4 linked regions of the Styela clava genome follow. The protein of the gene in region 2 interacts with the protein of the main gene of each other region in a pairwise test. Links are inferred from orthologs where the notes say so. Each region holds a gene or a part of one and is shown on either strand. Other genes may lie near its edges.

Region 1 (6,892 bases), on a different chromosome or scaffold from region 2:
TGTGGCTCGTGTCACATTCGGAGAGTAATCAAAAAATAGCATTTCGAATTGTTTTGTAATAAAATTAATCAGAAAAAAATCTTTTTACATATTGTTACACCACTAATGTCACTGAATTGACTAGTGTTATGGCTAGTTGAGGCAACTAGCGAAGTTGAATGATGTGCTTGACAGTCTAAATTATTATCTGGCTTTCTATCTTTTTGGTCGGGAATACATGCTAACAATAGAAAACTAAAAATCTAATGCGGATTCTATTAGCCTTGGATGGCAATGTCTGATAACTATGTGTTTGCACAATAAAAGCGTCTGTTTTGTATTGCACTGTTCACCTAATCCTGGCACTATTGAGGCCTGCGAGCAATGCAAAAATGATTTTGTGGCCCGCGGAGCTGACAACCTTAGACCACCCTGTTCTATGGCATTGCGTCAAAGCATCTGTAGACCATTTACTTTAAAGCATGTTTACAAAATATGAGTGTTTATTGAAGGTCCAGCAGCCACTGTTTCAAGAGTTGGTATTACAAAAAAAAAAAGCTGAAATTCATTTTAATAATAACCTGTTTTCTTTTCCTTCTTTCTTTTTTGAAGATCCAGTGGGAGGTTTCTCTTGAACTTTTGATGATGTTTTCTTACCAGTGAGGACTTGTTGAACTGCATCATCTGATGAAACCTATATTAAATTTTGAACAAAATATTTGATTCTCTTCCTAAACAAGATTCTAGTCAAGAAAACAAATACACAAAAATATCAGAAAAATTAGACTTAGAACATAGTTAGCATGTGTCTCTTTGGATTTCAAATAAAAAGTTGTGGCTAATGAGAATGACATCATTTTTTCCCCAAATAGCAAGTATATTATGGAGGTTTTGTTAGATGACAATACATTATGTATTATTCACTGTTTAATTAGCTTATGTCTCGTTTTATCTGAAGAAGTTAGGGACTATAATCTAATGGAAGCTCTCAAATATGCTTGCTATTTCATGGGGAGAGATTATGATATTCTTATTTATCTTTCAATACTATCTCGTTCAAGCATCCTTGTGGCAACAACCACTTCATATGAATCTGAAGTAGGCAATGAGAACAGACCTGCAGTTCGATACACAATTTCCTACTACCTCTAATGAGATGTTTGAAATCATGTTTCCTACAATTAGCACTTAGTAGTAAATTAAATTTCAATTATGGTACTAATGATCAACAACATACATTTTTATGAATACATTTAGCAATCGCTTGAAGTAATTCATTAGTTTTCTCAGGCTCGTGTCCTGCGACAATTTTTGATGGTCTAGCAGCTAGTTGGTCACCAGATACTATTGACACAACGTCGATAACTTTTTGAAGAAATGCCATTTTATCTTCTTTTGCCTAAACAAAGAAGAAACTGCTAGTGAAAAGTGTCCATGCATCTGTATGGAGTAAATAACATAACTATCTAAAAACTGAAGGGTAAAAGGATGAGAAGACTTGGATGGCCATGCATGGGTTATTAATGGCAACAGTGTTTTCCAATCGAGGTGAAATTTAACCCCAAAGAAAAAAATTTATGTTTTACCTGAGGAAATTTTTCTCCATAGTATTACTAATATCTTTTACTTGTGTGATATTATTATAATACATATTTTTGCCTACATTATAAACTATTCAAATAAAGCATACAAAACTCAGAGTGCAAGTTATGCAGATCACTAGTTTATAATCCATTATTGATTAAAGAACAACCGAAAACAGAACTCTGACATGTTGGGGAAATGAGCCAAGGGGAGAATGTATCAAAAAAATTTGGTACCACTGGAAGATATTTTCTTGCCCTGAACGATTACAAAAATTTGAAGGCCGTAAAAATCTCTCGCTTTCCATGTATAGGATCCCCAACAAAATAAAAATTAAAAATTTTTTGGTTAAAATTCAGAATAGGGCCTTATTTCTTTGCTTAACAGAGAGTGGCTTATTCACGGCAAGATGGTTTATCTAAACTAATAATTACTGTTTTTATTCCCATCATTTATGATGAATGCGATAAAAAATTAAATTATATCTGACTAAACAACTTACAGACACATTCTTAGAATCCATCTCTGATGAAGTAAACAGTCCATTTAAAAATCCTGTTGTTCTGATCACCTAGAAAGTTTGCATATTTGTTATAACAATAATCAACAGTACATTATTAGATATCAGCTAGTACAAACAAGACGGCGCTCCAGAAGTGTGTGTTCCAATATTGAGGTAACTAATTTTGTTCGCCTACTCTACATCAAGTTGTGTGGAGGGACTGAAACATATGGGGAGGGCCCGAACTCGTTACTGAACTAACATAAGGAAAATCGGATTAAATTATGGCCGAACCCTAACCTGGTACACACACTAATTTTAATTGTAATCATTCTGTCTTTATGACTGTATTTAGATCAGAAATCGTATTAGTCTTAAATACAGCTGAGCAGTAAAATGTGAGAATTTTTTACAAAAACTGTCATTTTCAAAACCCACTATCGAATACCCTGAACAAATCAAATGGGTTATGGACAAATATGATAAAAAATCATAATATTTTGTAAAAGTATTTTCGTTTTTTCCTTTGTGGTACTAATTGAGTAAATTATCACATTAACCATTAACAGCTTTTTTCTATTTTAAACCCAAAATATTGATGATGTTTGGCAATTATTATTTGGAATAGCCAACTATTTCATATATTGATTGATATGCCAATCCTCGCTTTTAAAGGATAGTACATGCTTAATTTAGGAGGCAAATAATTTTCATCAAAAGTCACACCATCAAGATCGTAATTTTGAGATATAACTTATTCAAAAACATTTTCATACAAACCTCTGTGAATATATCATGTAGAAATCGAAACGGTGGTTTTGAAAGCAACTTGTCCGTCAGTGGAGGTTTTTTAATAATCTTTCCGAGAGTATCTCTCGTCTTTTTCATTACTTCTTCTCCCATTTCGAGTATGATTATTCAAATTTAGTATTATTGCTCAAAATCTTTAATAAAAAAGATGTATATTGGAATATAAAGTGTATTGTATTTACAAATTTCGAAACTTACCAATTTCAGAATTTTTATGAAATTTGTTTAGAATGTTCACCAAATTGGATAGGATAGGATTTACATAATTATCCCGGGGGAGAGGAAAGGCGATAAGACGGCTTATCCATATGGCGAACCACGGCCTCTCGTCCGGTTACCATTCCAAGTCGGGTATGGGATTAGTTAGTTACACTGTCTTGTTTGTTTTCGGAAGCATGGACTTGGTGGTGGAGGAAGCCGTAACCGACCAGCGGTTACGTGAACCACCCAACGACGGCGAGGAGTCCAGCAATCCTCTCGCACATAACCATCCGAGCATGGGATTCGAACCTGCGAACCCACGCAGAGTAATTAGAGGTGCGGTGGCGAGCGTATTCCTAACGCTTAACCCGTTGAGCCACACCGCCGCGCCTGTAAATATAATAAAGTCAGACAACTACAGAACTAAGTAAGAAACAAAATGCTGAAATGCCAGTGATACTGCTGTACCGTAAAGTCGACTACCGGCACCGGTACATTAACAAAAAAAGCAAAGTTCTGATTCCTAAGTCAGAAAGATAAAGTCTGGAAATACCAGTACCGGTAAGAGGTAGTCACAGGTATTCCTGTTTCCACATTTCCTCATAATTCTTGAGTGAAAGCTGAGATAAAGCATTTAAAATCTTAATGGTCAAGACGACCACTTTCTAAGCTCTAACTAGTGCACCTCCTCCTACATTTCAAGTAATTAATTAGGCCCGAAAACAAATGAAAAGCAAACCCTGTTTCCCTTTATATCTGTCCCAAATGTGATTTTATTTGGGTTACGGTGTAAATCAAGCTGTTGTTATGTGCGTTTAGGTCACCGCTTCGAGGCGCTCTTGATTTGCGGCCATGGTGTACTCCTTCGTAGGCTTAAATTGTATACGTATAAGTAAAAGTTTATTTCGACTCCATAATCAGCAATAGACGATAAAGCAATTGATAAAAACAAAATAAATAAAACTGATTACATGGTCGGGAAAGCAAACGAAACTTCAAGCAAGGTTTAAAGCGTACATATTTTAGGTGGAGAGGTATTGATAAAAGAAGTAGTACGTCTTCGCTCACCCAAAAGTATCAAAACTAATAAACGCACGCACACACACACACACACACACACAAACATACAATCGTCGAAGCATGATAAGGTCGGGAGTGAAAAAAGCGAGACATAAAATCAATTACTCAGTAAGAAGAAAATTGGCAAACAAATAAAAAAAATGAATAAATTCTTTTCCCACACGCCAGGGATGGCCAATTCGAATAAAGTATTCGAATATCACGTTTCCGAATATCGGAATTAACGTTCATAAGAATATCGGATATTTGTGTGACGTCACACATTTTCGACGCCGCTTTCAAGACGTTTCCGTTGAATGAAAACATTCTCGATTGAAACTTGCGCGTGATTTTTCCACAAATTTGTTCCACGATAACGATGACAATTATTTTATTTTTGTACCCGCACAGAATTGTGAATCTGGTAAATACGTTCATCGGCGGCGAGTTTCTAGAGACAACGCAACTTTTTGATTGAAAAGCGGCAATTTAAAATACTGAAAATAAAACCGTAATCGATATAAGTTTTACTGAGGCCCGCGAAAATTTAAAAAACGCTTTTCTACGCAGTGAAAATCGCAAAATTTCGTGTGCCTCTGGCACACATTATGTTTGGTCGTCGTTTAGAAACATATCGTCACGAATTGAGGGCGGGATTTGCCTGAATATCCATTACTTTAAATTGCCGTCGAATAATGATACAAGGTTTGAAACGCGACTTTTTCCCGGGTTCTGAGGATGTATATAATATAATTAATCTAAAGTATATTCAATCAATTTTATTGTGATGAAATAAATTTTACTCTGAGATGTTACAGCAGATTTATGGGTTTTTCGAACGGTTTTATCTAAAAATAATCAGAGTGGCAGCATTTCGATTGAGCGGAGTCACTAATAACAAGCAGGCTACATCTAAATATTTGCCGAATTCGCAAAATAGGGATCAAAACTTTAATTAATCGGGCAGTTTACCACACGTTTCTATTTTTATGACCGCGGGTGCAATGGTATATAAGAGTGGTGAGGATTTTATTCTGTCGACGCAACCGCAGGTTAAATTGAAGACAATTAAATTAATAAAGCAAGACATTTTAAATATGCCCGAATCGGTCACGAATTCATCACTTTGCACAACAGAAAAATATGTATTCGTTGTCATATTATTTGTTGTAAAAGTTGACTCTTTTAACAGGTGGTATAATCGCGGCGATGAATATGTATTTTTAAATTCACTGCTAAACTTTATATGTATATTCATTGTATGAAACGAAATATACTCTACACTTAACAAGATTTTATTTCATTATTTGGGATTTTTCTAACGGCGATAACGAGTTGGCAAGATTGCAAAAATACGTATTAAAATTAAGTACATCAGGCAGTTTATTTCGTACTTCTAGGTCACAGATCACCAAGGACCGAATAGTAATGTTTTTTTTGACGTAAGAAGAAGAAGCCGCGAGTTACGTTGGACACATTAAATTAATATATAAAGATATTTTAGAATCTCGTAGTTGTCATGGATTGAATATTTTACGTAACAGGATGATCATTATACGCTGAAAAGACGGCTCTTTTAACGAGCGCAGAATCGCGGTGGGTGTTAAAGGCGGCAATGGGAATTTCCGATTTCGAAAATTCTGGCTGCGCGGCTGGCAGTGATGGTCATCCATCCTCTAATAATTTATTTCTAATTTCAAACACAACAATATGTTACACATAATAACAATATGATTCACATAAATTAATATACAAATATACTGGTAAGAGGTAGAATACTCTAGGCTTAAATATTAGAATTTTCGAAGGCAAAATGGATTTTCGATTGTTGTTGCTTGTTTCATTTGTCTGTATTGCCAATAAATTTTATTACTCTTAGAAAATATACACAATTATCTGAAGTAGTATTTTGTCAATAGACTTGACTATTATCGAAATATCATGGTACCAATGATAGAAAGCGTCAGACAACTCCTTGGCTATCTTTTCATATGGTCATTTGTACAGAGTGAATAATTTTAATAAACTGACTGTGTCACAAGTTGCTATTATTTTTTTATTGATAGCTATGAGCTATCAATTACTTTGTGTACATATACTGTTGGTTTGTGGCTTTATTCTGATATTTCTATTGAAGCTTATTTCCTAATTTACTGGGTTTTAATAAACTAAAACAAAAATGTGTTATTTTCAATTTTAGAATGTATCCGGAATAGCTTAGTATTCGGAAATGGCCATCCCTGCGGCCACACCAAATAATAATTGGATTGCCGAATTGGATACCGAATTAGTCAAAAAAGAGTTATATACTGTGGATAGAAAAATATTCCTCAAAAGATATCGTCAAGCTGATTATAATTGGAGTCACCTAATTCCAAATTGCCCAATCAGAATTGCCAAGTTGGATGCATGAAGAGGTGGGCTACCCCTGCTTCACTCACCAGATAGAAGCCAAAACTAACCAAATTAACGTCCAAATTATTTTAAATATTGTTAATCAATAAAAGTACCGGTAATTATAATTAAAATTAATTAGGGCGGTATGATACAGAGGTAGGAAACTTGGTTACGGGAATATATAGAATATATATTAAATGTTCAAGTAAGGTTTCTAAAGTCATGGATTGTAAACAAGCAAATTTAAGTGAGGTTGTTGATCACTACGGTCAGTTCAAATTCATCACGGTTGATTCATTTTATGTTGAATTAGCTAGCTTTTAAATTGATCATCATGACGTCCTAAAAAACGAAAAATAT
Region 2 (7,720 bases):
TCGTTTTATTTCTTCTTCAGCAAGTTGAAGCGAGTTTAAGTTAGCTTTGGTTTTTGCATTCATTGGTCGAAGAATAGTTTCATTTATTACGGAAGGTCTTGGCAGCTCTCTTTTTATAATAGTGTGCCTTTTCTCAAGTTCAGCCGCTCTAGCTGCTTCTATTTTTGCTTGTTTTTCTGCCTCTATTTCGGCAGCATCTTCAATAAAATCAGATGGAATATTATCATGATGTTCCTCTTCCCCTTCACCATTCATATCTTCAGGAAGAACAATTTCAAAATCATTTCTAGGCGCAGGTAACTTTATGAGGGAGGCTTTCAAATGCTGTCTTTCATCTATTCCATCAAATGGAGTGGCTCCCCCATCTGAACCTTCTACATTTATGTTAAGTTTATCCCTGACTGGTGTCATACCAGGTGTATTTCGAATGCTAGAAGCCGGAGTCAGCATACCTGGTGTCGCTGCTGGATTTTTATCAGCAGGAGTTTGAAAGGGTGTAGAAATAACTGTATTTGGTGTTTGAATGTATTTCTGTTGCGGAGTGATCCCGGAAAAATCACTATCGGTCACTTCTGTGTTCAGTCCACCTTTCAAAGGAGTGTCAACATTGGACAGCGCCATTATATTTTGGGCTTCTTTCATAACAGTATCAACTTGCATCATTGGTGTGCGCGGAGTCCTCATTGCAGATACGTTTGGAGTAACACTGTAATCTGCAAGTAGAGCATCAGAAGCAGCATTTCCTTCTTCTACAACTTGTTTAGCAGCTTCAGAAGCTTGACCAAGCTTTACAACTTCTTCTAATTCTGCATCAGAGATCTGTGGAGCAGGAAGCACAAGTTTGGACCGTTTCTTAACTGGTTCTGTCGGCTTAGCTATTAGAGAAGGCAGCTCTTTATCCTTGACTTTTTGTTTGTCTTTTCTTCTTTCTTGAGATTCCTTCTTTTGTCTGCTGACATCATCAAGATGTTCCTGTCTCAAACGTTTGAAATCTGGATCATCTGGATTGAAGGTCTCATTAGAAGTATCATGAAACCCTGCTGCAGGAAGCTTACGAAAAGGAATTTCCTCATTATAATCAACACCACGTTTCTTTCGCCTCCTTTTACGAACTCCAATACCAGCTGCACGAAGTTCTCTACGTTTTTGAAGTGAAGCCAATCTTCTGGCTTCTTCCAGCTGCTTCTCTCTTGCTTTTCGCTTTGCTTTTTTACCTGTAATATTTCAAACATTTAGCCAATACTGTATATTGAAATTCGCATAATTTTAATAATAATATCTAATGACCTTGAGTATTCGCAAGTCTTGCTCTTGCTTCACTCAACATCTCTAATTCATCTTCATCCATATCAATTGGATCAGGCCTGGCAGGTTTAGTTTCTGGTGCTGGATCAATCTCTCCAGGTTTAAGCTTTCTTGGATCATCCTGTAATATGAACGTATTTCATAAAAGCTACACATTACAATTATATGCATGACAAAATGGAATTATCTTAGTTTGCCGACCCCCAATCTATAATTACAACTGCATTCATTTTTGACTTTGTGATGGGTCCTTTGCATTCGAAAATGTTAATTAAACAGCTGTTTGCAGCATTGAAAACATGCATAAAATTCCAGAAAGGTTGCATAGTTTTGTGCGTATAACATTGGGTTTTAGAAAATCATGCACAGAACATAAACATCTTTTTTCAATATCACCCATTTCATCCAACCCAATCTTATTTTAACATAATTCCGGGGCATCTAACACCCCCAAAATATAACACAATTTTGAATTTAAAGTTAGTATAGAACTAGTAATGGAATTTTTTACAATTCATTAGAGTATAATATTTTCAAGATTCGAATGGCCTTGCATTCTGCATATCGGTATTCGATTACTAGTCAATACAGAGTTGAGTCTGGAATAACCATCTAACATAGTGTGTAAAATACGGAACATGACAAGTTGGTTCACAAAAGAAAACAAAATCCAGTAGTAGCTTGTTATATACTGTCAACGTTTAGAAGAAAAGCTCTCATGAAAAAGAAATTCATCCATTCAAAATTTTTTAAATTTCAATAAAAAATACATAACCAATTACATTTGAAGTAATAAACATTTAGTTATAAAACATGGCAAACCTGAGCATCGTCATCTTCATCCTCTTTCTGAGCAGCTTTATCAAGTAAATATTCGTAATGTTCAAGGCATTGTGCTGCTGTTCTCCCTACTATTGGAGCAATTGTACGCCACTGTGTCGGCATCAACTTGGCCAAATGAAGAAGCTTCTCTTCTTCCTCTCTTGACCATTCTGTTTTTTTGATGCTCGGATCTAGCCATTCGTACCTACAAAAAATCATATTATGTCTGAAGTCTTTTTCACCAGATGATTAGCATTTTTTGTGTGAAGTTGTCCCTGTTCTGCAGTTACGTATCCATATAAAATGGCACCCATGGCAGAGTTAAGAAAAGCCCCCTTCATCGCTAGCTGACAATTTTCAATGGCTGATTTTGAATTGAGATACTTGTACTTATCATTTCAGTAAAAACATGAGTTTTATACCCTACATACGCCACTGGGTTGTCCTAAATGAAAGGCCATCATTGCGCTGAGAATGTCAAAATATTTTAAATTTCACGTAAAATTTGAAAAAAAAACTTTTTGCAGTAACTGTAGCCAAACTTGTTCTGCAATGTTTCGCCGTGCAATTTTAATGAAAAAATATGGTTGATATCAGTGTCAGAGCAGTTCACAATAGCAGCAAGAGTAAAACGATGGTTCTTTTATTCTTACCATCTAGCTTTGCACTGCTTCGCAGACTTTCTGTGAAGTAGAGAAGCAATACGAGACCATTGATTCAGACCATATTTCATTACAGCAGCTTTCAGAATTTCATCTTCTGTGTTCCGCCACACACCTCCTTTAATTGTTATTCTAGGCATTTTACCAGTGTATCACTGTTATATTATGTTTAGGGTAAAGTAGACTATAGAAATGAAAGAAGCAGTAGCTTAACGAGTTGATACAGTAATACCGTAATGGTTAGTCCTGTCCAGTCAGCCAGTTACTGTTACTATTTCCGGTACCTTGGCCTGAAGACAGAGAACCATTTTTTTGTATTTCTGTACCATTTGTAACCGTACTCTTGTACTCGGAGATGTGGCGCATCGCGCACCACGGGCAGGAGGCCGTGGTTCGCCATGCAGCCATGTCAGCATGTGATCAAGCCGTCTTATCGTTTTCCCTCTTCTCCGCGATATATACGGTACCGGTACGGTATGGCGCGGCGGTGTGGCTCAACGGGCTAAGCGTTAGGAATACGCTTGCCACCGCACCTCTAATTACTCTGCGTGGGTTCGCAGGTTCGAATCCCATGCAGGGATGGTTATGTGCGAGAGGATTGCTGGACTCCTTGCCGTCGTTGGGTGGTTCACGTAACCGCTGGTCGGTTACGGCTTCCTCCACCACCAAGTCCATGCTTCCGAAAACAAACAATACAGTAAAACTAATCCCATACCGGTACCCGACTTGGAATGGTAACCGGACGAGAGGCCGTGGTTCGCCATATGGATACGCCGTCTTATCGGCTTTCCTCTCCCCCGGGATAAATATGTAAAATCCTATCCTATGTAAATCCTACCTCTCGTTTTTATGCGTTTCTGCCAAACCGTTTAGCTTATTGTTGGATGAAGTGGTGCGTTATCAGAATGCCGAAATAAATCTTACTGGTAGCCTATATTGTAGTACCGGTACTACCTGACTGTAGTAAGTTGCAATTCGCTTGTGTGTTTAAAAATTACATCAAACGCAACTAATAAAGTCAGTCAATGTAGTCACCAATGCACTGATGATAGACTTGCGAGTTGTGGAGTCAAACTTTGGCATGTTTTTGTAGGAGTCGTATTTGCAAACTTGTCAGAGTCGAAATTTTGAATTCTCGGAGTCAGAATTTTGGATATAAGTTTATTTTAACCTTCTTGAAAAAAAAATACACTAAACAATGAACACGCAAAAGATTGGAAAATCGAAAAAACTGGCAAAACCCGTGATGTGGTTTACAACACGCAGAAACACATGTGTCAGTTTACCCATATTACACACATAAAAACCAGTGGCGGCGCGTGGTCATTTTGACAACCGGGGCAAGCTACTGTGGGACTAAGTCACCCCCATCTATGGGGACAGAATGAGCGCTGTAAGTTCTCCCATCATTTTATGAGTATAAAAACCATTCAATCGTTTTGAAACCTCTTTCAAAAGGAAAGGCAATATTTACCCAGATAAATACAATGACATATTAACAGAAACTTCGGGAAAGCAGACAAAACCTAAAATAAGGTTTAAAACGTTACTATGAAGAAAGGAAAGCTAATGCAAAGATAAAGACAGGCGTCGCTCACTCATGGATATATATGCTGCTAGACTTCTACTGCTTGAACATATATGCAACACGCCGCGGTTTCTTGGAAGCAAAATGCTCAATAACGCGCTGATTAAAGTCATGCATCCCAGAAATAACGTCTCTGTGAATGGATAAAACAGCCAAGGAATTTAATCTATCTTGCTTCATTGTGTTTCTGAGATACGTTTTATTACGCTTCAGCGTGCTGAATGTTCGCTCTGCGTCGGCGGAAGAAATAGGCGTCGTCAAAATGATGTCCAGAAATTTTGCAGACGCCGCAAAGGTAGTTACTAGAGTGTTATCTATGAGGAACCCATAGAGCGCGCAAGTTGATGTGATGTTCAAAAAAGTTTGATTGGTGTATATACATCGCAATTCATTTTCCAATTTACCCACGTTTAACGTGGGGTAAAATTTGGAAACAGTAGCCAACAAATGGATGGGAAATTACCGTGCAAATTTTAAAAAATTTTTGGGATTCATCAAAGAGAACGCGGCAAGGTGTTCAGTGCGCAGACGATCGCCTATTTGATTCACAAGAATGTCACAGCATTCCTTTGCAGACAAAATCAAACGCTGCGTTGTTTGCCCGCGGCGTAAAGAAGCACTCCATGTGTCGTCGTATTTTATTGTTTCCCGGATACGAGATACAGCATCGCAGAAGTCTGAAATACACGACTGCACAGACGCTCCATCCATTAGCCTTGACTGCAATGCGCCGTATAATACATCCACGTGATAGAATATTGTGGAGAAAAAAGCGAGAAAAAATTAAAAACTCACCATCTTCTAGCAGACGCTTTAGACCTGCCGCCTCCCTCACAGAGCGTTCGTCCCAAACCGGATAGCTCTGAATGCCATTGAAACACTCAACGAGCTCAGACCTAATTTCGGACACGCCCTGCACCACGCGTGATTGGAAGTTTCAACGTGTTGGTGCACAAGCTGGGAGACGGCGGCTACATATCTGGCGAAGGAGGTCAGAGCGCTTCGGCGAAACGGAAAAAAATGAAGAAAACCCCGAAACATTTGCAAAAAATATACGGACGAAAGGGGTATCAAGACACATATTTTTAATAACGAGGTTAAATTGGTGTGCATAACAATGTAAAAAATGCGCATGAGGAAAATCGTCTTTTAAATAAACTTGAACACCATGTTTCGACCCACTCATGACTGCCGCGCCGTCATAAGTTTGAGCTATCAATTTTGACTTCGCGTTGTAAGGCTGTAACACTTTTTTCAGTACAGCCGATATCCCGCAAGCCGTGCGATCAACGATTGGTACAAAGCTGTGAAATCTCTCGGTAGGTTTACCATCTTTCACAAACCGAAAAATCACAGCCAGTTGGGAAACGCACGTGATGTCAGTTGTCTCGTCAGACTGAATCGAAAGGAACTGGCAATTCTCAATTTCCAGAGCCAAATGTTGTAAATAAATTTTATACATTGAGTCGAGCAAATCATTTTGGATATCCTTAGATGTCCCTTTCGAAACAGTTGCGGCATCAAGATGATCTCTCAATACTGTATCTAGGGATGCGGTGTATTCCACCATATCCAAAAATACCCCTCTATTAGAAGAGCCAGCCCGTTCATCGTGCCCACGGAGGGACAGCTCGTGAAAACCAATGAACTTCAAAACATCTATCAATCGACCGAGAACATGGCGATTTTTCTCGACGTTTTGGTTGTGCCGACGAATAGAAACCGCGCGTCCTTCATCCAACTGTGCTGCAATATTAACATTTCCGAATGTTCGGTATTTTACTGCATTGTCCAGATGCTCCATAGAAGATTGATGATCCCTGGCACGCTCGGAAAGATGTTTAAGATCTCTAAAACCAAATTTACACCAACGTGAGTCACGGGCGGTAGCAAAAAGTAGGCAATAAAAACAAAAAAGTCCATTTTTGTCCTCGCTGTAACACAACCATTCGTGTTTTTTTATACCAAGTTTCTGCGCAGAATGTACGCCGACGCTTTCCTCCGTCATGGGATTGTTCCAGTGAACAATTTTTTGGTTGATAAGGCCCAAGACGTTGTACCTCTAATTTTTGTTCCAGCGGCAGCTGCGAAAACGGAGTGCGAAGTAGTGCATCAACCTTATTCATTATGAGGTCTAAGGCTAAGAAATGCGAAGCCGGAAAGAAGTGAGGAGCTCAAAAGGAATGTGGAAAATCGAAAGCAAATGGACTAAAAGTCTCTAACTGATTCAAATAGCGAAACAAGCGACAAAAACGAAGGCGAGGAAACTATCAACTCTTCAAGCAACCAACGAACGAGAAGGAATGCGTGAATATGTCAACACGTTGTTGTAAGAAACGCCGGTATTGTGTCGTCATAATTTCGGGGCTAGCCCCGATCGGCCCAATGATTTAGTAAAAGAAACAGAAAACAAACGAGCGAGTGGAAGATAAAAGAGAGAATACGATATACAATGAGCAAAATCGGCGTCGCCCCGTCGACGTTCGGCGAAGGCTTTGCGAGCGAAAAATGAACCATGTCGGGAGAATATGGCTAGTGTAGACGGTCTGTGCAACCGATATTGAGGTATTTTTCGAATATTTTTTATTATACCGAAAAAACAACCGGGGCATTGCCCCGGTTGGCCCTATTGACGCGCCGCCACTGATAAAAACATATATTAAAGTAAAAAAGAAAAGTTTATTTTGAAAACTCTATATTACACGAGAAATATCACGAACCCACAGACACACAAACCTCTTGGGCCAGAAATAACCAAAATATACCCAAATATAACGAACTTTCGGTCTGTTGCACTTCAAAATACTGAAACAAATAATGACCTATTCAATCTGATACAAAGATAGATAGATAGTTTAGATAGCGTGCAATGTGAGGAAATGGCAAAGATAGTCAAGATCCATGGAAAACTAAACTGTTTGGGCGTTGCTGAAAAAGGGATTCAAGATACATATATACCTAGATCAAAACTATCTTGGTAAATTCTGCGCACGGACTCATATAAAAATAATTATCGGGAAAATCACACGTGCACGTCTGTAATTGATGAGGCCGAGATTCTTCGAATAGTATTCACATTTTTCGGTCATATGGCAGGCTACCTTATCATGTTATAAAATGTTACATTCTTCATTTTCTTAATGCCAAGCTTATATCTATGTTTGGTATTTGCTTTTGCAATCTAAAAAGAAACTCGTTTATATAAAAATGGATTATTTGTTGGTCCAAAATTTCACTTAGTTTGATTCAAGCGATGACCATCATATAAATTATAAAACAATTGTTGCTGTATAAATTTATATATTTGGTTTTAGCCTAGTCAGGTGTGAATAAAAATATATAC
Region 3 (7,664 bases), on a different chromosome or scaffold from region 2:
AAAAGGATGATGATAAGATAATATGTATAAATAAACAAACTAGCGCAAGTTCAAACAAAAAGGGGACTATTTAAACAATGATTTATATACAGGCGGGTGCCTACTTCACGTACATATTTTTTATCAAAAGATATCATCGTGCTGAGCGGTTGGACTACCCGGCTGCGGTTCGCTGGTTCCCGCCAACGAATAATCATTTATGCTGGGAATACCAAAGTCCTCCCCCCCGTAGGGTGGTTCATGTAACCGATAGTCGGTTGCGGCTTTCTACACCATCAAGGCCAGGCATCTGAAACAAATAACCAGTGGCGCATCATTCTGAGTGTTAGGAATACGCTCGTCATCGTACCTCTGATTGCTGTACGTGGGTTCGCAGGTTCGAATACCGTTGGGATATTTATGTGAGATAGGATTGTCGGACTCCTCACCGCGGTAGGGTTGTTCACGTAACCGCTGGTCGGTTGCGGCTTCTTCGACCATCAATTCCAAGCATCTGAAAGAAATACCTAGCTGACTAATATCATGTCTTACCCGAAACGGAGTGGTAATCGGACGACACACGGTCGTAAACCATCTTATCGGCTTTCCTCTCCCGGGTGAAATATTTCAATCCTATCTAAATTCGAACTGAATAACTAATTCTCCAGTCATATGATTGAACTGGCTTATCAACTTTTCTCACTTCCAGGAAAAAAATGAAAATTCACATATTGCTGTATAGAATAGTTTCCAGTAAATTCAGGATGCCCTATTTCACGGTGAACCGCGGACATTCATATGCCTTTGTTACGTCGATTAGCATTTTTTCGCTAAGCTTCAGCTTTAATTACGATGGCGGAAGTAGACAATTAAATCGATGTAAAGGGTAATGTACACGAAAATGACTCGATTAATGTTATGTGAATAAACTTGCTTTTCATGTTTTATGTAAATTCTAACGTAAATCGTAACTTGGCTGATAGTTAATTTGCGCAAAAACGTTTGCGGCACGCATTGAATTTTTGGCTCGTTGTGGACTTATTCAACCGCTCCGCGGACTCAAGTTGGGAAACACTGCTCTAACAGCTAGCTTGTGCGAAGCGAACAACGCGTGTCATAAAATGAATATCCATGAGGCTCAAAAAGTTTTAAAGGTTAAATGGTTCAATAAAATAATCCCGAATTGGAAATAATTTAAAAACGTATTTATACTTAATAAAACACAAGTATCTCAATCCAATAACTATCGTTGAAAGTTGTCAATCAACGATCGAAGGAGCGCATTTTTAAACTTTGTCAAAAGACCCATTTTACGTAGATATGACACTACATATCTACATCGCATATTGTACACTATTCAGTCTGTACAAAAGTCAGATTGCGAGGTGCTCATACTGTTTAGGAATAGTTAAAAGTCTGAACAGTTAACTGAAATAGAATTTTAAACACCGGACTGGAGGTTTGGCGCATCACACTGACGTTAAAAATACGCTTGTCATCGCTCTGTTCCCTAAAAATAATTTTGTTCTTCACTGTCGCATTATGCTTCACGTTCGTGTAACTCATCTGTTAAGTATTCGAAACCCAAAGCAAATGTATGTTTACGTGGGTAATATTGGTAAACTGGCATATATATTTCACGTGTTTTCAAATCTTGATAAAGGTTTTGTTAGTTTCCCAATCTTCTGTGAGTTCATTGTTTTGTGTAGGTTTTTTTACGGGAAAATCAAAATAAACTCATACTCATAAATAACTATCACCCTATCTCGTCGCCACTGGAATCCCAATATTTGTTGAATTTCAGCAATACTACCTGTTACTACTGTCAACGTAGTCGGTAAATCCTGTAATTTTTTTCTATGAGTCAACTGACTTAACGAAGGAAAAACTTTGAAGTGTTGGAGATGAATTTTTTTGACCTATGACCCCACTAACATTTTATTTGGTGCTTCAGCATGTGAAAAATACAATTGAATAATTCCATGCCGGAATTGCTCTGGAATTGAGTTCGACAATAAAAGGTTTCTCGGGGTTATTTACTTCTGTGAATGCTGCGTTGGGATAACGTTTTAGATTCGTTATGGAGTGAAGAAAGCCAACGAGTGAGCACTACAATAGGTACGTTGTTGCAAGACCTTACGCAGTACCGGTACCGGCACGGCGGCAAAACTGCAAGAACTCTTAGCAACCCACTCGTTCATTACCGGTATCATCTTTCACTAGATTCAAACCTGCGAACTAACACAGGGTACGGTATCGTAATCAAGGTTGCGGTGGTCAACGTATTGCGCATTCATAACAATTAGCACGAAATCCTATATTTATATTCCAGTTCAGTCAGTCGGTGTCATTCAGTCATTCAAATAACTGAATACCGGTAGTGATTCCATGTTCATGTTCTGATGTTGTCTGTGTTGTAGGCAACATTTCTACTATTACAAATCATAGTAACATGACTCACTCACCCGATTTAACTGAAATTCCTTATTATATATGTATAATGATCATTTTCTAAACACTGAACCAGTTATGAAAAGTGATGATACCGGTATTAGAATTTTCACACTTATGCACTTTGGTGAAGTTGAGATTATTCGTGTCTAGTGTAGTTTCGTACTTCAAGTACTTGGCATATGTCAGTTCTAACCCCAAAAATTGTTACCCTATGCCAACTATAAGTACTTGAGGTATGAAACTACTCAAGACCAGATTATTTTGTTACAGGCATTCAAAATAATAATGGAAAGTTATTGGACTCTGATTTTGCATCGCTTCTTTTAAAATATTCCAGTTCATACCGGTTTAGATATGTATAGATACCGTAATTGATTTACAACAGATACCTTCAACTGCAGTTTCTATAGAATGGCTCTGGTACGAAGCAATATTCTGAGCCGAGTTTTTTATAAGCCTTCCATGCTTGAAACGAAACTTCATTTACCACTTCTTGAACAAGTCCGATACCGCAAGCCGAAGTGGTTACTACCACGTCGAGCACCTTCAAAAGCAGGGATATATTTTAATAAACCGAGACCTACGGAACATGATGTAAAGAAAAGTGAATTAATCTATAAATCTTATAATGAAATGCTGAGATCAATAGCTGCTGCTTTCCAAGAAGAAATATTGATAAACGAAGCTAAAAAGGAATCAAAAACTGTCTCAAAAAATAGTTTCGATGAACAAAGCCACCATGAAAAATGTATGGCGTATAATGAAGCTCATAACAAAGAAATGCGGGAAAAACGAGAACAAAAACTCGATCGAATATTGGAAAACCAAGAACAACAATTGAGCCAGAAAGTCAGTTTATTAGAAAAAAAATTCGAACATAAACTTGCTAAATATGAGCAAGAAGTTTTGACAGCGATAGACGAATCTGAAAATTGGATTAGCGAGGAAAATTTGGAAGAAAAAATTGAAGAAGCTTTAGACAATGTGGTTAACTTTAATTTTGCTGTCAAAAGAAATGGCAGAATTGCGTTAAGAACTGTGATACCATAGTATTTTAATCTGTGATGCTAGAGTGCATGGGATTCATAGAGTCTTGTTACAATTAGAAAACATTGGCAACTGACTTCATAACGAAGTTTTGAAATTGCAACTGGACTTTATAATCTTTTGTCATCATTGAGGCATTACATGTGGTATAACAGTGAAAGTGCTGCTATATGTTACTTGTGTGCTTAAGGTTCTGAGGTGCACATAAGGTGCATAATTGACGATAACAGTGTTTCCCAACATTTATGGCTCGTGGCGCTTTTAGCACTCATTGCCCCCCTGTTTATCATTCCAGTGGGATTCAAAGTGTTATTTTGATTGGCAGATTCCAAAGCCTATTAAATGTTCAAACAATTCATGCTCAACGAAGTGAAAAGACCCTGTGAAATAAGCTTATCAAGCTATTAAAAAGAAGAACAGGGTTTTTCATTTAGTAAAACTGAAATGAGTTTTGCGGCTAGCAATGTGGCCCCTCTCCAACTGCTCTGTGGCTTCCTTAGGGAGCCACAGGCCCGTGGTTGGGAACCAATGCCACAGTATTTTCTGCTGTGGTGCAGTACATGGTGCTTATAAAGTCTTGTAACAAATACAAAATATTGAGAACTGACTTCATGACAAAAATTTTAATTTGTGGTAGTGGTAGGATCCCATGAAGATCCTGTCTATCTTTTGTTTGGGACCTGGTTTAGTATGATTCCAACTTCGTCCTCTGGTGGGAATCATTGAGACATTAAATCAGTGTAACAGTGAAAGTGCTGCTATATGTTACTTTTTTTGTTGATAAGGTTTTGATTAATAAATCGTACAAAAGTTGGCTGGACCCAGGTTTGAATAAAATTTTGCTTTGTTTGAAGTTTCGCTTTCACGACTGCTAGTAAACTCCAGTACGATTTGATTTCAATCTAACCCTAGAACCAAATATCTTATTTAATGTTTGTGGCAAAATATATTTCATCCCAAAATGGAGCGTCTTTATTAATGAACTGTTCTGTAAAATGAGTATCGATATATGCTAATGCTCAAAATATTGTGTGAAGGTATTCATGCCGTCTTTTTTTATCTTATAGTCTTTAACCCATAGGAAGGACTGAATTCCTGATAATACATTCTTTATGTTTTGGAATCATCTTCATCATTTAAACTCTAAAACTATGTGTTCCTATTTTTATCTTTTAGAATTCTGTACCGTTAGACCTATTGTAGAATAAGAATATGCCATCTGTGGATGAGCTGGTCTTGGAAGAAGATGACCTACCTTATGAAGAAGAGATATTGCGCAATCCATTCTCTGTCAAATGCTGGCTGAGGTAGGTTTATTTATTACTTATCGATCTTAAGATCGGTAAGTATATTGATAGGTATTTGTATGTATGTCTGTCTGTCTGTGTGTGTGTGTGTCTGTTAGATGCGCGCGATATCTCACGAAAGCGAGATTGAATCTGCTCCAGATTTTGCATGTGCATTCATCTTATCTCGGACCAGATTCCTATTGATTTTGGGCGAATTATGTCGTATAATTAGCGAGTTATCAATCAATTATTGATTAAGTGATCTAGATTTTTGTAAAGCGAGAGGATTTTGAGACCCGCCGAGTGTGTGTGTGCGACGCGCAGTGCGCAAGTTACACGAGCGGATGAAGCGGATGAAAACTGCAGTGTCTGTTTTGGGGGATCCCCTAACTATCGATCGATAAGTATTCGGTTTCCAACCGATATTCTCGTTGGTTTTTTAATCACATATTTAGAATTAGGCTATACATAAGCGCCCACTGCTAGGTCGGGATCTACTATTGATCAAAAGAGCCGGAATCTTTCTGGCTCGACATTGCCTAGACATGACATGGGCAAACAACGGCGAATTCAATCTGATGCTGCCACAACCAAACTAAATTTGTATTTTGATGTTTTAGGAAAAAATACCTCGGAAATTTGTCGAGATTGCGATAAAATTTGGTTTTGTCACGAAGCTCATTGTTTACATTTTTGCTTTTGTAACACTGTAAATAAAATTCTGTTTATAAAATGTAACTTTTAATGTCATTCTTACATGGCCCCCAAGTCTTGGTTGGCAAAATTTTTGACCTCTGGTTCAAAAACCTTACTCAACCGTGGCCTAGCAGGGTGAGGTGACTATGGAATTTGAACTCCTGATTTCAACTTGAAGTGTAACGCTTCAACAACTAAACCCCCCCGACTCAGGTTTGTGTTCAATGATCAGAACATGGACTTTGCTAAACTTTTATTTTCACTATCAAGTTGTTGTGTATGCTCTATGTAATTTTACATTAGTCAATACCACCCAGATGTTACACCTGGAGGGTTATTAGTCGTTAATGAATATGATCCACTGGAAACCGAAGTATAAAGTACACCTTAGCTTGGAAGATTGTTTGTCGCTTGCGATAATTTCCTTAGCGTACAAATTTACTGAAAGATTAAGGTCTGAAACGATTAAAGACAGATGGCAAATATCTGTGACTTTACAACCCAATTCTCTATGTATTATCCGCACCTGGATATAATGTGCAAAACGACCCACTTATACCTCAAACTCACCCATCCAAATTCATGCCATTCTGAAAATTCAGCATCTCTGCAGAGCGATTTTGACACTGTAACCCGCCTATCTGCGCCACTGCTGAAATCCAATTATTCTGTCTATACCCATGTTGCTTGCTGATCTTCCAATGTTATTCCCTGCAACAAATACGTATTGCTTCACATCAGGTGAACAAGCAGGCAACGATTGTTATCGACAACAGTTATTTGTGAATAAACTGTTCTTTATTCATGGTTTCATATTGAGTTTTGAATCTGTGGCCCAGTAACCAAGTCTATTGAATATAAGGATAGTATTATAGTAAAAGAAAGCCCACCCCGACTCTGAATGCTTTATATGCGAAAGTCCTAAGTTATTTATTTTTTTTAGGTACATTGATCACAAAGAAAATGCACCTTATAAGCAGCTCAACATGGTCTATGAGAGAGCTTTGAAAGAACTTCCTGGAAGCTATAAGTTATGGTACAACTATCTACGAATCAGACGAAGCCAGGTTAAAGGTCGATGTCCTACGGACTCAATGTTTGAAGAAGTTAATAACGCACATGAACGAGCGTTAGTTTTTATGCACAAAATGCCCCGGATTTGGATAGATTATTGTAAATTTCTTGTGGATCAAAGATGTCTGACGAGAACGCGTCGTACTTTTGATCGCTGCCTTGAAGCTCTTCCAGTGACGCAGCATGATCGGATTTGGCCGTTGTATATTGAATTTGTGAAAAAATATCCCATTCATGAAACAGCAGTTCGAGTTTTTCGTCGAATGCTGAAACTCATTCCAGAAGAAAGTGAAGACTACGTGGAATATTTAATATCGATCGATCGTTACGATGAGGCAGCTACAAAACTTGCGGAAATTGTTAACGACGAGAGTTTTGCGTCGAAACATGGAAAGACGAATCATTTACTTTGGCATGAGTTATGTGAACTCATTTCAAAGAATCCTGATAAAGTACATTCGCTAAAAGTCGAGGCAATTATTCGTGGTGGTTTAAAACGTTTCACTGACCAATTAGGACAACTTTGGTGCGCTTTAGCTGATTATTACATCAGAAGCGGACTTTTTGAACGAGCGAGAGAGATTTACGAAGAAGCAATAGAAACTGTGACCACTGTCCGTGATTTTACACAAATTTTCGATGCGTACGCTCAATTTGAAGAGTCCGTTATTAGTTCGAAAATGGAAGAGGCGGCTGAAGAGGAACAGAATGAAGAAGATGACATTGATATTGAATTACGACTCGCAAGGTTCGAACATTTAATTACGAGACGTCCATTACTTCTCAATAGCGTCCTCTTGAGGCAGAATCCACACAATGTAAACGAATGGCTTAAACGAGTCGAGCTTTACGAAGATAACTTAGCACAGGTCATCAATACATACACAGAAGCTATACAGACAATAGAAATACCAAAATCCGTTGGAAAGATTTCTAATCTCTGGGTTTCCTTCGCTAAATTCTATGAAAAGCATGATCAAATTGACGACGCTCGTACAATTTTTGGAAAAGCGGTCCTCGTGTCTTACAAAGGCGTTGAAGATCTGGCCACCGTGTGGTGTGAGTGGGCTGAAATGGAACTACGACACGAGAATTTTGATGGCGCAATCAATTTAATGAAACGAG
Region 4 (8,024 bases), on a different chromosome or scaffold from region 2:
TGCAGATAATTATACCCTCGAAGTAAAAATGTGTAGACAAAATTGATATTGTGTAACCACAGTAAAATTATAGTAGCATATGTCACATTTCAGAAACAGACTTTATTAATCTTCTGTTATTATGGACAGGGTCTCCCCTTCGGTATAAGTTTCAAAGTTGTATTTATCTTAGTGCCTTATGTCAATTTTAGACTTTGCTATAAAGCAGTGGTTCCCAACCGTTTATGGCTCGTGGCCCCCACCCGGAGGCTTTTAGCCCTCAAGACCCTAGAATTGTGGCCCCCCCTCCAACTGCTCTGCGGCCCCAAGTTAAGAACCCCTGCTATGAAGATATGGAAATTAGAAAAATGCGATTTTCGCAAAACCTTAAAATGTGACAGAAGCTTATTCAATAATACTGCGGCAATGCATTGAAATATATTATATTGTAGGTAGGCGATGTCTTCGGAACTATGAAATTACACTTAAACACTTGAAATAAAATACTTTGTCATCAGCACCAATAAAGAATGATATAAATTGTTATAGCAGTAGTATATGAATGTCTATAACAGAATGGTTATTCCTAATAAGCCTTTTTTTCATTGATATCATGATATAACCCAAATTATATGAATTGAATTAAAGATTCCACTACATGATGAGTTAATTTCACAAAATGGTATTTTCAAATGATCTTATTTGAATGCATTTATTGTCATCTTCCACTGATTAAACAATATGTTATTTAGTACTTATTTCATAACAATATTGAGCAATTTTTGGTTTTATCATATGAATACATATATATATACGATCAGTTTAATGAAGACTAGCAAATGACTCCTACAGTATAATGGTATTTATATAAAGACTAATTAATACATTAACCTAGCAAATGAGACTGCTATTGCAGAAAATAGCTTTTCTATAAATAACGGAATTATAGGCTCTAAGTATTACAACAGTAATTTAATTTGGAAAAATGTAACTTTAAAATACAGTTTTTGAATTGGGATACTTGAATAGACAGTGGGCTAAGGTCTGAAAGAATAAAAATTGTGTGAATCTGAGTTCTAGCGTCTATTCTCTTTCTAACCATGCTACAATTTTACCCTCCCAACCAGGGACAATGTCATTATCATTGAAAATTTCCTTTTTTACTGTCCCAAATTCTGGGTCAAGTGCTTTAAAATTGAATTTGTAATTATCGGCAGGTACTTGAATTACACTTTTAAAATCTCGCAAAGTTATTTCGCCAATTTTTTTAAAAATTGAAGCTCTGGCTGGCGTCATGTTTCTCTCTGTGAAGTAAATAACCGTCGTTGACGCAGTTTTTTGCGCCATGTCTTTTTTACGATTTCTAGGTGAATGACTCGCAGATAAACGTGGCACTGATAGTTCACTTTTACGACCATAATTCTGGTTGTTGTTACGCTGGTCTCGTTCCGTTAATGACATCACTGCTTGTTCAAGCGTGTCAATAATGTGTTGTCGTGAATCATGAGGTGCTAAATTCGAACGAAGGCTGTTTAGAGACTCTGAAATGACAGTCGTTTCATTACCATTTCGTTCTGGTTTACTTGATTGTTTATAACGCTGTAAAACCCGTAATTGTTGACTTAACTCTTGTACTTGTGATTCCAACCTTTGCATAGAGGTTAATTTACTCTTACTTTCGTCTCCAATTTTTTTGAGTTGTGTAGACATTGAAGTTAGTTCATCTTTTAAATGCTTAATGGTAATATTTTTTTCCGACACTTCATCTGATAGAGATTGTTTTGCCCGTTTATTTTCCTCTATTTGAGCTGCTAAATAATCTTTTTCTTGTTTCAAATTATCACTCGCCAAATTTAATTTCAAAATTTGTTGTTTCATTGACAAGAGCTCTTTTTCTTGTTGTTGCGTACGACTACGCAGCGCTGATATGTTTGCTGATGTACTCCTGCATTCTTGTCGTACATCGGTAAGTTCGGTTTTCAATCGATTATTTTCATGTTGACTCAAATCAAGTCGACTTCTTAGAATTACGTTTTCTTCGTCTTGGGAAGAAGCTTCTAAAGGAAGACTCTGCTCATTATCACCATCGCCTGGTTCCTCTCCATTTAAAAGTAAATTTTGTAACACTGATATTAAATCACAAGTGCTCGATAAATCACTTTCTAAATCATTATAATGTTCCGTCAATTGCTCAGAAACATTCGATGCATCCCTGCTTCCACCAGATGTCAGTATAACTTCACTATTTATAGAAGAGAGATTCTGCACCGTTGTTGTCGCAAGGCAATCATTGCCAGTTCTACTGGACCGCTGAGGTAAACTTGGTGATGCCCAAACGTCATCAGAAGAAGATAATTTATTCAATGAAAATGAATCTGTCTCGTCTGAACCAGTTTTTGGCAGATCTGACCGGTTTGATGTGGTTCTGGATGAACTGGAACTGCTATTATTGTTTCTTCTATAGTCTGAGGTAGGGGTGCTGCTCTTCCAACGAGGGCGAAAACCTCCAGATAAGCTTACATTTTTGTGAATATCACTCAGTGCAACTTTGGCATTTGCTGCTGCAGCTGCATTAACCGTTTTCTTTTTTCCGACACTAGCAGGTTTAAAGTGTGCGGCCAAGGTCAGAATTAATTTCATCAGACTTTTGACATTACCATTAATTACATCTTTCTCAGTAATGTGATGCATTCGGATACTTTTCTTCGTCAAAAACTTTAATACTGAATTAATATTTCGTCTTTTTTCTTCAAGATTTTTCGCAGGAATATAAACTCCATCCAATTTTTCTCCGGAAATAATTTCAACTAGTGTAACTAAAACGACTCCATCACGGAAATCTGTTTTTAAATCCGTTACAGGCTTATTCCCTGCTCTCTTTTTAAGCTGGCTGTTAACCCAAGCAATGTAAGTTTCAATTTGTTTTTGATATTCCTCATTCTGTTCATTGTCCCAAGCATCCTGCCTGTTATTGGCATCAGTAGCGGCAGACATTGCCTTTTTTTTAGAAAAATACTATATCGATAATATCCAAAAAGAAAAATGAAAATATCAATTTTAATTTAATACAATCAAAACATCAGAAAGACAAGTATGAATTCAGAGCATTGGACAACCCTTGAAATAGACATCGCCAAGGCAGAAATATTCGGTACCTTGTACGCTTTATTACCATTTAATTATGTTTCACACCTTCACTCAAAAGAAGGCTCCTTTAATATCAGACTCTAATTGCCCTGATATTGATTTACAGTATGACACAATTCTCCGAATCTGGGATAGACCCACATTGAAAGACATCAATTATAGCAATGAGTGCCAACCACTCCTTTACGAGACAATCTATACCTCCATATCGACAAACTGGCACTACGCAATGAACTAAACGAAAGCACAATCTAAAAACGTCAATTGGATTTCTTGGGGGAAAAATAATTTGATTTACCTAAGAAAAAAAATTTAGCGAAGCTTTCAAGAGTTTTTGCAGATTAGCAAGCATGGCGCATCTGCCAACATGCCAGATGCCTCTTTTGAAGTGTTTGTTTTATTGGAGTCGAGACATCTTGGAATGAGAGAACTGGGCCCTATTGATTTATGCGAGAATGATTAGTTTGAAACAAAATTATTAGGTTTTATGATAAAAAAATAGAAAATTCGAAACTATGGATGGCCAGAATTAAGTGATCTTGTATTTTGAACAATATTTTCAATTACTGAACAACGGACAATGAAATACCGTATGTTCTAATTTTGGTAAAGATAAACAAGGAACTCGGCACAAGCCAATTTATGTTCAAAAATATTCACTTTGGAAGGTTAACACTGTAATGATTTACAATATCATCAAATATATCCAATTTAAATTATTCTGGAATTCCCTGGTCTGAAATTTCTTAATACCCTTTTATCATGCTAATACAGTTGATAAACTGTACATGACAGTTGATAAACTTACTATCTGACTATTTTTACTATATAGCTATATTTTCTCTCATATCTACAGCATTTAAAAGGAAAGTGGTACCAGGTCTACCATTTACAGATGTAGAAACTAGCAAATTGTCTGGTCTGAAAGTTGCGATACACTTATATAATATACTGCATCACCATTATATCTTCTATTGCGCACCAGTACCGGTACCGTAATGAATCATCTCATTCATTATCGAAGATAAAATCCGATCGAGGTTCACAAAATGCATTTCAGTATCCTAGTCAGGCATTTAAATGGATAATACCGCTAATTATCTGATGAATATTAATGGAACCATACATTTAATCTATTGATCACATTAAAATTCAGTATTAAACGGAGAATTCCACTTAATTGAACATGTCAAAATGCACAGCACTTGGATTGTAGGCTATAAGTATAACGAGCTTAAATTCTTAGACGTAATGCCTAATTCTTCAATTAATGACTAACAAGGTAACTAAAAATTATCGTTAACTTGATTGAGCCCAAATTGAAAATTTGGTCCACTACAAAATATGATAATCCGTCATAATTACCATTTAGTAAAAAGCTTAACAACAAGACAAACGGAAAACCAAAGCGAAGTGTTTTGAGTGACGTCGCGGTCAATGACGCGCTAATTTTGATTTCAGTATTTTTGATTCCCTGAACGTTTTACCAGTTGTAAAACAGTTTAGCCCACTCCCACTCCGTGAAAATTCTTTTTTTTTCCAAATACAAACGAAGACAAAGCAAATCACAAGCAATCTGAAGAATTGAAAAATACTGAAATATCAGGAGTGCGCAGTTGTACCATCTCGCGGATTTTTTTAATTCTATCTCAGCCAACAAGCGGGTTTATGATGCTGACTTTACGAGGATTGGAGGGGTTTTGTCCGACTTACCGGAGACTTCTGTGGAGACATTTGCGAAAGTTTTCTTCGGGTAAGCTTTAATATTATGTTTTAGATAACAGCCTATATCAACATTGGTTTATGACACAGAATTAAGGAATTGCAATATTTTATTGCAAATTTGTTGGAATCTTGTCATTATTCCTAATCTTGTGATCCCATGTTTCCGTCTGCAGTCTGATGGGAATTGAATATAATTCTTAAATTTATAGAGGATAGGATAGCCTAATAATGAACTAAGTATGCACTGATATAATCATATTCAAACACCTCTGCATAGATACAATTATTAAGTAAATTTGTTGCACATTTTAAACATTGCAGAAATTCATACATGTACGTTGTACATGTACAATAGTTATTATTTTGCATGCTCGCCCTCAAGATACTCTGCATTTTATTTGTTCGTTTATTCTTGTTTTGTTTTATGTAAGAATGATTAAAAATAAAATTGATTAATAGCATATAAATTATATTGCTGTGTCATCAATATGTTGCATAAATCTTTTGTAGGTGCACAAAAAGAACAATATGACTTGATAGTCATTGGTGGTGGATCAGGTGGATTGGCTTGTGGAAAAGAGGCGGCTGATCTTGGAAAAACTGTTGCTGTTTTGGATTTTGTAAAGCCCACACCAATTGGTAACGTAACATTTGTGTATCAAATTGGTATTCTGTGTTTTTCAAGCTGTTATTGCAATATAGATGGTCAGTCATGGAATCTCCAGACAAGACATTTATATGCATCTATTGATCGTCATCTATCCTCCATGGCATAGTAATTGTGTTTCAATAGAAAAGTGCTATAACTCAACTAAATTATTTGTTTAGATTGCAATGGCTTTATTTAAACTGTATGATTGTTCATTTCTGGCCATTGTTTTAACTGCTTGTCTGAGGAAGTCTTGACTCTGGTCAGACGAAACGTTACAGAATCACATTTGTGTCAGTGTGCAGCAGGACTCTTGAATTGGATAGAATATTAACATTCAATAGATAAATAATTCCTTATAATTTATTATCATTCACATTTAAACCAGGTGTAGTGTTATCCCAAGCTTGTTTGTGACTGTCTTAGAGCTGGCCATTTAAATACTTTTTGTTTCTATCAGGCACAAAATGGGACATTGGAGGCACATGTGTGAATGTTGGTTGCATACCGAAAAAATTGATGCATCAAGCTGCATTACTAGGTCATTCAATACATGACGCAAGAAAGTTTGGTTGGAATATTCCAGGAGATATAACAAATAATTGGTATGAATATTGGTTATAGGATTTAAAAGTCAAAATACATTATAAATTAGAATTGTCACCTTCACTCTTTTTTTATTAATGTTTTAGTTTGATTTCATCCTTTCTTTAATTAAATTTTATAATATTTGTGTGAGTGGTTGTGCCAACCATTCAGCATGTATTTATGAATGTTTTAGAAATTGCATGATTTGGTATATCTGCACATTGGGTGATTATGATCAAGCCGTCTTATTGGTTTTCCTTTCTCTCGGATAAATGTGTGAAACCTGTAAATTCGATCCTATATATTCAAGTATGGGACGGGAACTTTTTATGTAGTCATTTGCTATTTGAAAATGGAAAGAAATGAATTTAATATTTTTAAATTGACATGCAATGCAATAAGCGAATTATAATCGCAATATTTTTTTTAGGGAAGAGCTGAGCCATGCAGTGCAGATGCATGTCAGATCATTAAATTGGGGACATAAAGTACAATTAAATGAAAGGTAATAATCTCAGAGTTGCTTGACTATTGAGAAAACGCGACCTGCATACTGCTTTTTTAGTAATGGAGACCATTTTATGTGCTTTATGAAAAGTCATGGACAGAAATACAAACACATTAAAACCCAAATCGTTTCAAATGACCATATTTTTTTAACATTTTCTTTTATTTTGGACATTTTAGCTTCAGATCATGTAGCAGAGTATTGTCAAGAATGAATCTGAAAACAAAAATAATTGGCTAACTAATCCCATACCCGACATTGACTGTTAACCCGACGAGAGTCCGTGTGCCATATGATTAAGCTGCTTTATCGGTTTTCCTCTCCCTCGGAATAAATATGTAAATCCTTTCCTATATTTTTGTCAGAAAAGTGAAATACTACAATGCATATGGAAGCTTTGTTGACGCAAACACTGTGAGAGGTACGAAGAAAAATGGAGACAAGATCTATTTACAAAGTGATAATATTGTCATTGCTGTCGGTGGAAGACCAAGATATCCTAATGTGAGAATCAGTGAAATCTGCTTTTTAATTACGAATTAGTGAATTAGCATTTATGTACAGTGCTATGCTCGGCATAATATACAATCAAGACTGCTCGACCAACCAATCAACTAGGAAACAGTTAGAGTTCTATATGGCTCAGGCATAAGTTTCCGCCACTCTACAGCCCTACCTTTATTATTGAAATGGTCAGCTATGCTTGTGATAATTCTACTTTGTATATATGAAAAATCTTGATATTCAAGTAGGTATTTGTTTAGTTTCCAGGTGCAAGGGAACACTGTATCACTAGTGATGATTTGTTTTGGAAGAAAAAACCTCCTGGAAAAACGTAGGTTCAATTTAAGATTTGATTTATTATAATTGATGTGACGTCCTGATCATATGGTAAATCACAGCTTTTCATTTGGTAATTACCAATCCAATTCATGGTATGCACGAACAGTGGAAGAAGTCGTAACTGACCAGGAGTTCAGCAATCTTTAACTTACCCCTGGGTGCTGAATTGTAAACTTCTCTGTGGTTGTAATTTGGCTAACAATCCTTTCATACTTTGAAAGTTGGGTAATAAGTAGTGTTATTGTAAGTGCCTCGGAGGTGTGGCGCATCGTGCTAAGTGTTAAGAATACGCTCGCCACCGCACCTCTGAAAACCTACATGGGTTTGCATCGAATCCGCGTGGAGATAGTTATGTGCGAGAGGATTGCTGGACTTCTCGCTGACGTAGAGTGGTTCACGTAACAGCTGGTCGGTTACGGCTTCCTCCACCATCAAGTACATGCTAAAAATAACTGTTTAACTAATCTCATACCCGACATGGACTGGTTCGCGATATGATCGTCTTATCGGCTTTCATCTCCCTCGGGATAAATATGTAATTCATAGCCTAAGTGTGTCTCTTACACTTATCATGAATGAATCATT

The links.
Region 1: the proteins of cell division cycle 5-like protein (region 2) and TRAF3-interacting protein 1-like interact in a two-hybrid assay, tested with the Homo sapiens proteins (2 studies listed by BioGRID and IntAct). The link is inferred for Styela clava from reciprocal best matches to the Homo sapiens genes CDC5L and TRAF3IP1.
Region 3: the proteins of cell division cycle 5-like protein (region 2) and pre-mRNA-splicing factor SYF1-like interact in a two-hybrid assay, tested with the Homo sapiens proteins (2 studies listed by BioGRID and IntAct, with this or other methods). The link is inferred for Styela clava from reciprocal best matches to the Homo sapiens genes CDC5L and XAB2.
Region 4: the proteins of cell division cycle 5-like protein (region 2) and dixin-like interact in a two-hybrid assay, tested with the Homo sapiens proteins (2 studies listed by BioGRID and IntAct). The link is inferred for Styela clava from reciprocal best matches to the Homo sapiens genes CDC5L and DIXDC1.

What each region holds. Positions count from the first base shown.
Region 1 is NC_135261.1:18,105,757-18,112,648, forward strand, and holds the start of TRAF3-interacting protein 1-like, read right to left. Parts: upstream 3,007-6,892; 5' UTR 2,969-3,006; coding exon 2,846-2,968; intron 2,135-2,845; coding exon 2,066-2,134; intron 1,379-2,065; coding exon 1,217-1,378; intron 674-1,216; coding exon 561-673; intron 1-560.
Region 2 is NC_135252.1:11,955,313-11,963,032, forward strand, and holds the start of cell division cycle 5-like protein, read right to left. Parts: upstream 3,008-7,720; 5' UTR 2,930-3,007; coding exon 2,781-2,929; intron 2,333-2,780; coding exon 2,128-2,332; intron 1,427-2,127; coding exon 1,288-1,426; intron 1,215-1,287; coding exon 1-1,214.
Region 3 is NC_135255.1:19,051,461-19,059,124, forward strand, and holds the start of pre-mRNA-splicing factor SYF1-like, read left to right. Parts: upstream 1-4,651; 5' UTR 4,652-4,692; coding exon 4,693-4,787; intron 4,788-6,408; coding exon 6,409-7,664. Other genes in the region: small ribosomal subunit protein mS26-like, read left to right, coding at 2,845-3,483. UniProt on the Homo sapiens protein: Involved in pre-mRNA splicing as component of the spliceosome. Involved in transcription-coupled repair (TCR), transcription and pre-mRNA splicing.
Region 4 is NC_135264.1:14,176,128-14,184,151, forward strand, and holds the start of dixin-like, read right to left. Parts: upstream 3,015-8,024; 5' UTR 2,974-3,014; coding exon 1,063-2,973; 3' UTR 1-1,062. Other genes in the region: thioredoxin reductase 2, mitochondrial-like, read left to right, coding at 4,795-4,879, 5,362-5,490, 5,961-6,105, 6,519-6,593, 6,962-7,100, 7,361-7,431. UniProt on the Homo sapiens protein: Positive effector of the Wnt signaling pathway; activates WNT3A signaling via DVL2. Regulates JNK activation by AXIN1 and DVL2.